2 linked regions of the Bombyx mori genome follow. The protein of the gene in region 1 binds, or shares a complex with, the protein of each later gene. Links are inferred from orthologs where the notes say so. Each region holds a gene or a part of one and is shown on either strand. Other genes may lie near its edges. The genes, in order: queuine tRNA-ribosyltransferase accessory subunit 2 and queuine tRNA-ribosyltransferase catalytic subunit.

Region 1 (3,838 bases):
TAGAGGCGCTGATGTGTAGACGAGCTTGCACGAAGAATTCATTGAAATGATGTAGATTGTGTCTGAAAATACAAATTATCTTTTTAGATGTTGGTTGGCGGGAAAAATCAGCTGTGGCTTTTTTTCCAAATAAAATTTGTAAAGACAAAATTGAGTGACTGAAAATTACAGTGTAAATATTGATATTGTGTTTTGAATTTCTATAAAGTGTTTGTTTGTTATGTAAAATGTGTTTGTTGTATTTCTCTAATCAGCATGATAATAATTGTGGACGATTTTTATAAATTTACAGTGCCTCCATTTCCAGTGATAAATTAAAAATTTATGGTACACGCCGGTGGTAGAGAAGAGATTACATATTTAGAAACATCCAGCGAGGAAACAAAAGAATATATTTATTTTGACATAACATAATAAATATCGATGCTTGAAAGGCAAACGTGACTAAGCGACAATGCGTGAACTTTACGGTAGACTAATTTAAAGTTGAAATACATGAAAACAAAATTTATTTTGACGAATCTAGCTGTAGTAGAATCTAGCTTACTAGATAGTAGTAGATTCTACTACTATCTAGCTACTGCGGTAGGATTGAAATAATTTTAATAGACTTAGAAATATAATTTTTTTGGGCATCGAATATGGTTATTGCCTATCATTTATGTACAAAGCAGTTATTGTCGCTTAGTAACGTTTGCCTTTCAAGCATCGATATGTAAATATTAAATTAAAATTTAAAACTGGAGTTCTGAATCGAATATTATTAACCATGTAACAATACATTCATAACTTACATGCTCAACAAAACAGATGCCAGCATCTCTCTTGTATTTAAAAGATGCCTAATATATGCACGTGTGTGTTTTTTACATGTCAAACATTCGCATCCTTCCAGTATAGGTTTGAAATCTTCATTATACCTGAAATTATTGTGAGAAAACTTTCATTTTGTGCATTTTTTATTAGTAGAGTTAATAAAACAAGTCAAAATAGAAAGCAGCATTGTAACTCGTTTCTAACCATAGCAACTAGTGAACAATAGCATTATACACAAATTGTAGAAACAATTTTATATTAGTTTCAATTCATAATATGTAATATCTAAGAAAATACTAAATGTTTTTTCAAAGGGACAGTAATTGGAAGTATTTTTATGCTCTAGATGGGCGGAGCTGACGGTTTACCTGAGCGATGGTGGACATCATGACGTTTTATTCGATATTTTTGTTAATTTTTCACGTTTTCTTTAATAATGTGATCTTCTTTATCATGGAAGTTATTCATGAGCATGTGTTAAATATTTACTTTAAAAATTGGTATCTGTTATGGGATTTGGAAGTACAGTTATAGTAATCGGCAAACTTCTTGAGCAAATGACCTTGACTGCGCAGAACCGAATTTTAGATCACTTTGGTGGTGAGGGTGAGGCGCGACGGCAGGGGAATCGTATCGAGCGCGTTATTGGTAGATCAGTCGAACCTTGCGTCCCGCACCGCGCCCTCATTCCGCTTGCTCCCAAAAGTACGCTTGCGTACAGTGGAAAGTCTATCGTTATTAATCGTTAAGTTATTTGTTATAATTGCTTGTGGACTTTGTTGCCATTGCTATTTGTTGAGTGTTTGTTGATTTTTTATAAAACATACACTATGCCGTGACAAAGTGGTGTAGTACTTAAAAGAAAGGGTAGAAAATTTGTGTACGACGTATATTGCTTCATTATAAAACAGGGGAAGAATGATATGGAAAAATTAAAACAGACTTCGGAAGCAACAAAAACATCAGTGAGTACTGTTAGGTGCATTATTAACGAATCTAAAGGCTCTGGCTTGCTCGCCGTGTTTCGGACTCCGGGTAAGAAAAGATCAGGGAAGAAGAAAGTTACCGGAATGGATAGTTTCGTTCAATCTGTAATCATAATAACTACATAACAAGCAGCGAAACTCCGTACCGTAGAAAGGCTTCGAAAAATTTTAAGAAGATATACATTTTAATGGCTCGGAATGAAGTTTACGACGAATTATGAAAGAGCTAGGCTTCAGATGAAAAAAAAAAAACAGAAAATAATCGGAAGCCGATAATTGAAAAAAGTAACATTCGATTACTACGAATCGAATATCTTCAAAAAATAATTAATTATAGACAAAAAAGAAGACCGTGTCGACCGAGTTGTAAACTACGCCGATGAGCCCTATGTCGACTCATCACGATGATAGCGATTCGGGTGATGAAAACAGTGATGATGATGATGGTCAAGATTATGATAACGAAAAAAAATATACAAATACCAGCTTCGCTTCAACTGAACCAAGACCTGGCAACAGCTCTAGTTTTGACTTAATAGAAGGAATATCTATTTTACCCCAAGATTAAATTATTACAATTATTAAGCTATATGTTTTGTTGATGTTCTAATAAATATATAAATAAATACATATGTTGATTTTAATAATTTAATTGCATTATGACGCAGAGTAAGTAATGTTTTTGCACGTGAGTGTACCATGCGCAAACTTACCCCCACTACGTCAACAAATGCTCAAGAAGTTTGCCGGTTATTATAATAAGGTAACAAATAAGATTAATTTGTACTAACTTGAATGCTAGGTACATATTCAAATATAATGAAGACTTGAAGCTACTTTATTATGTATTACAATCACCGGTATCAGCACCAAGTTTTTAAGGTCTACAGGCTTCAGTTACCTCTTAATATCATGCGAGCTGCTTGTCTAAATCTTAAATATCTATCATACCTAATGTCATTAAGGTCCATGATACATGGATCTCCACTATATCGATACACATCAAAATTTAAAGACAATGCATGTCCCTTATTTGTGAGTTTTATTGGATATGAACCATCAAACACATCCCAACCATGCTCTATTGCTGTTACTATGACTGCAGGATTCCAAGAACCTTCAACAATACGAAGTAGATCATTTGGTAGTGAGCCCTGAAACCCAAAAAACAATTTCAAAACACATCATAAAGTAATAATAAGGATTACAATATTATAATCTATAATTTATTGATATTGTTGTTGTCTATAATTTTAAATGTGTCTATTGTCTTAAGAAAAATACGTAAGTGTAAACAGTCCTTATTCAATTATTAATATTTTACTTACACCAACTCTACTGAATATTTCTTTCAGCTTATCAAGAGAAACTTCATATGACTCCTTGCTTCCATCAGTAAGACCAGCTAATGCAACTCCAACTAATGTTTCTTTGTATTTCAGGATATGTCGGATGCATTCCTCACATTTATGTGGTATGTTCGCAGCAACTATCACACCTATCAATATATTTAATTAGGTTTCTTCACATGTTACATTATTTTGCATAATTTATTGTATATCCTATACATATACATTTTACATGTATGGACTTTACTTCTTTAGCGTATCTTTAATCCTCAGTATTGAATTCTATCTGACAAAAATTAAACAAAAACAATGTTAGGTTTATGATAAAATTACAAACCTACAAGTGAGCTTTGTTGAAGTTCTTCAGAAGCTTTATATTTATTTATGCATGAATCAAGCAAAGCCATTGTCCTCTCTACAGACTTGACAATTCTTTTTGGTTTTTCATTTAGAGAGATACGTCCATCTGAAGCAGCTAAAATTATATCAGGTTTAAATGTCTCCATTAAATCCATATATCTGAAAATTTAAATTTTGTAATTCTTATATTTTTTTAGTTCATCACTTTTTATAGCAGAGGATGTAATTTTTCAACTATCTATGGCTATCAAAATAATTAATGAGAGATTGATGGTGCTCATAAAATTCCTTCTAACCACAAGGCGCATTTGGGGAGATCGATTTGTA
Region 2 (3,554 bases), on another chromosome or scaffold:
GGACTTTCTGACAGAATGAAGACCTCTTGAGATAAAATACATTCAAAAAATTTAATAGTTAAAAAAACCCATTATAACCCTCATTTACTACTAAATAAAAAAAACAGCTTATACACTCACAAACTCATTTTACTTGTGTTTCAGTGGGGGTGAAGCAAAGGATGATTTCTGGCCAATGGTTAGCTTGAGCACAGGAATACTTGATAAAAACAAGCCACGATATCTCATGGGTGTTGGAGTTGCCATTGATCTTGTAGTGTGTGTGGCTCTTGGTGTTGACATGTTTGACTGTGTTTTCCCAACTCGTACAGCAGTAAGTTTATTTTACTAATTCTATAATCATAATGTTCAAATAATAAATAATACAATATAATTTGGCAGAGAAGGTCAGATCTCAACTGTTGCTGGGAAATGTTGAAGTTTGAGTAGAACAGCTTACACTCAAAGTAATAATTAAGGGAAGGCTACCAAAGTTCATATGCATTATGAATGCTGACATACTGACTTGTAACATGAGGTAGATGTATAAATTTTTTTGCAAAATGATTGGACGAGTTAACAGCCTTTTTCTTTTTTTATTGCTTAGATGGGTGGACGAGCTCACAGCCCACCTGGTGTTAAGTGGTTACTGGAGCCCATAGACATCTACGACGTAAATGCGCCACCCACCTTGAGATATAAGTTCTAAGGTCTCAGTATAGTTACAACGGCTGCCCCACCCTTCAAACCGAAACGCATTACTGCTTCACGGCAGAAATAGGCGGGGCGGTGGTACCTACCCGTGCGGACTCACAAGAGGTCCTACTACCAGTGATTACGCAAATTATAATTTTGCGGGTTTGATTTTTATTACTCGATGTTATTCCTTCACTGTGGAAGTCAATCGTGAACATATTTTGTTAAGTACGTATTTCATTCGAAAAATTGGTACCCACCTGCGGGATTCGAACACCGGTGCATCGCTACATACGAATGCACCGGACGTCTTATCCTTTAGGCCACGACGACTTCAAAATTATAATTTGCGTAATCACTGGTGGTAGGACCTCTTGGGAGTCCGCACGGGTAGGTACCACCACCCCGCCGTGAAGCAGCAATGCGTTTCGGTTCGAAGGGTGGGGTAGCCGTTGTAACTATACTTGAGACCTTAGAAATTGTATCTCGAGGTGGGTGGCGCATTTACGTTGTAGATGTCTATGGGCTCCAGTAACCACTTAACACCAGGTGGGCTGTGAGCTCGTCCATCCATCTAAGCAATAAAAAATAATTGCAGGTTAGAATATAGGTTAGAATTATATCATTGTAATGGCTGTCCCATCAGTAACAGAATGACACATGACTGCTCTGTGGCAGAAGAAGATAAGATAGATGGTGTTGCTTTACGAGACAGGCTAGCAATATTTTTTAAACGCAAAATCCACAATTTTAAATAGTTATCGAAGCCCATAGACATCATGATGTGAATGCAGCTATTCACCTTGAGGCTAGAGATTATTCTTATGAATTGTATATTAATTACACTAATTATACTTCTACAGGTTTGAATTTATTACATGATGTTATTTTTTATGCATTGAAGTTATTTATGAATATTATCAATGAGTAGGTATGGCATTACAAAAAAGTACTTGCATGCAGGATTTGAGCACCACTATAAATGCATTGCTGGATACAAATATCCTTTAGGTCATAATTAATTTTAACAACTTTCTCATCTACATGAAAATTTATATGTCTTTATTTTCCATTTTTTATATTCCAGAGGTTTGGGTGTGCACTTGTGAATAAAGGACAATTGAGTTTGAAACAAAAAAAATATGAAACAGATCTAAATCCAATTGACAAAGATTGTACTTGTTCAACATGTTTGAATTACACAAGGGCTTATCTCCACAGTATTGTAACAGTAGAAACAGTGTCTTGCCATCTACTTTCTGTGCACAATATTGCTTATCAGGTATGGTAGTGTTTTTAATTTGTCTACTATCTGACAACCCCTAATAGTAGTTCTCGGTACTTCTCATCAAAATGATATTTACATAGACAAGTGGAACTAATTAAATTTATTTGAGATTTGGGGAATTAATTATATTAAAACATGAATTGAAATAAAAAAACAATCGATTTCATGAAAATTTACACATCTGTTATAACTTTAATATTTCGTTCCTCATAAACTTATAACAGTGTCAACACAACAAACAACAAGCTGAAATTTACGATAAAATACGTGTCTCGGATAGAAAATATAAAAAGTGGTTTATGCGTGATGTAACAACTTCAAATCTGTATTCCCAATACATATATATAATCAAACAGTAGAATCTGCTAAATACACACAAATAAAAAGTAAAAATAGATTAAAAACCTAAAGCTCAATCATTGAATCACTTTCTGTCTGTTTCTTTGTTCACACACATCTCCACTCCACATGTACTGAATGGATTTCCGAATTGATAGATGGACATTAATTTGGAATAATAATGAACACAAAATTGATGAATATTTTTTTTTCATATTTACTTTAAATGTAGTCCAAACAGGTGAAGTAGCAGGTGGAAAGCCAATTTTATAATTTTATACAATGTAGGTATATTAAAATTGACTTGTAATCTTTGTAAATTGCAGATGCGTCTTATGAGGACTATGAGAGAAAATATTGAAAATGGTACATTTCCAGCTTTTGTACAACAATTTGTAAACGAAGTTTATCCCAATGGCCAATATCCTACTTGGGTTGTAAATTCACTTAGCTCAGTTGGAATAAATTTATGCCATCTTTAAAATATACTTTTATTTTTCACTTTTAAATATTTTCTATAAAATTATTAGAAGAAAAAAATGTTTTAGTGTTAATTTAATAGAAACAGGATTTGTAATATGATGGTCACATAAAATCATCGGAATCATTACCATCATAGTTAGTGGACATATTTTCCGCTTTCATTAATGTAGAGTAGCTTCTGAGTTCTGCCTCTTCCTTTTTTCGTTTTTCTTCTTCTTTCTCTTTCTCCTTTTTTTCTCTTAAAACTTTCTTTTTATCTTCTCTCTCTAATCTATCTCGATTCTCTCTTTCTTGTCTGAGGTCTGGAAATGATTCTGTTTTTGTTTTATTCAGCCTATTTACTATTTCATTATTTCTTTTGGCCACTTTCGCCTTTCTTACTTCTCTGTCTTTATGGAATGCTACTTGTCCAACCTGGAATCAATCAATCTATAGAAGTGAAAACTTTTAAAAAGTATAAGTGTGCTTGAAAAACTTATTGGGAAGGACAAAATTTAATAACTCAGTACAAATTGCCTTTGAAGAGTTTCTGGCTCTTGTACACCTAACTTCTTCAAGAAGAGCATTGAAAAAATACATCATTGGTACTTTTCCAATCAATACCATGGGTAATATTTTGATTGGTATCAAAAAAAAAAGCTTCTCTATATTAAACAGCAATTTTATAGGTCTTATAATATATTAATGCATACCTCCATTCCAGCAGTCTTCTTCAAATTTGACCACATTGTATAAACTATGTCTATGTCATTCATTTTATTGCCTAAAA

Evidence for each region.
Region 2: the proteins of queuine tRNA-ribosyltransferase accessory subunit 2 (region 1) and queuine tRNA-ribosyltransferase catalytic subunit are in contact, whole or in part, in a crystal structure (PDB 7OVS), measured with the Mus musculus proteins. The link is inferred for Bombyx mori from reciprocal best matches to the Homo sapiens genes QTRT2 and QTRT1. Residues at the interface, in NP_001343258.1 of Mus musculus: Arg39, Thr40, Gly41, Ser42, Ala43, Pro44, His45, Leu46, Thr47, His48, Gln49, Thr50, Asn53, Glu70, His71, Glu73, Val74, Glu77, Tyr78, Phe85, Ile86, Gly87, Phe119, Gln342, Glu343, Phe345, Tyr355, Asn359, His360, Ala363; in NP_068688.2 of Mus musculus: Thr50, Thr53, Met54, Lys55, Gly56, Ile57, Thr58, Thr59, Glu60, Gln61, Ser64, Arg80, Pro81, Leu85, Lys88, Ala89, Phe95, Met96, Asn97, Ala307, Lys308, Phe310, Pro320, Thr324, His325, Ala328, Phe329, Ala332, Leu333, His335.

What each region holds. Positions count from the first base shown.
Region 1 is NC_085111.1:7,106,226-7,110,063, reverse strand, and holds part of queuine tRNA-ribosyltransferase accessory subunit 2, read right to left. Parts: intron 3,671-3,838; coding exon 3,489-3,670; intron 3,301-3,488; coding exon 3,131-3,300; intron 2,957-3,130; coding exon 2,754-2,956; intron 921-2,753; coding exon 795-920; intron 63-794; coding exon 1-62. UniProt on the Homo sapiens protein: Non-catalytic subunit of the queuine tRNA-ribosyltransferase (TGT) that catalyzes the base-exchange of a guanine (G) residue with queuine (Q) at position 34 (anticodon wobble position) in tRNAs with GU(N) anticodons (tRNA-Asp, -Asn, -His and -Tyr), resulting in the hypermodified nucleoside queuosine (7-(((4,5-cis-dihydroxy-2-cyclopenten-1-yl)amino)methyl)-7-deazaguanosine).
Region 2 is NC_085110.1:7,481,513-7,485,066, forward strand, and holds the end of queuine tRNA-ribosyltransferase catalytic subunit, read left to right. Parts: intron 1-144; coding exon 145-313; intron 314-1,762; coding exon 1,763-1,957; intron 1,958-2,124; exon of another isoform or gene 2,125-2,628; coding exon 2,629-2,784; 3' UTR 2,785-2,786; downstream 2,787-3,554. Other genes in the region: ccdc25 (coiled-coil domain containing 25 protein), read right to left, coding at 2,888-3,199, 3,478-3,554.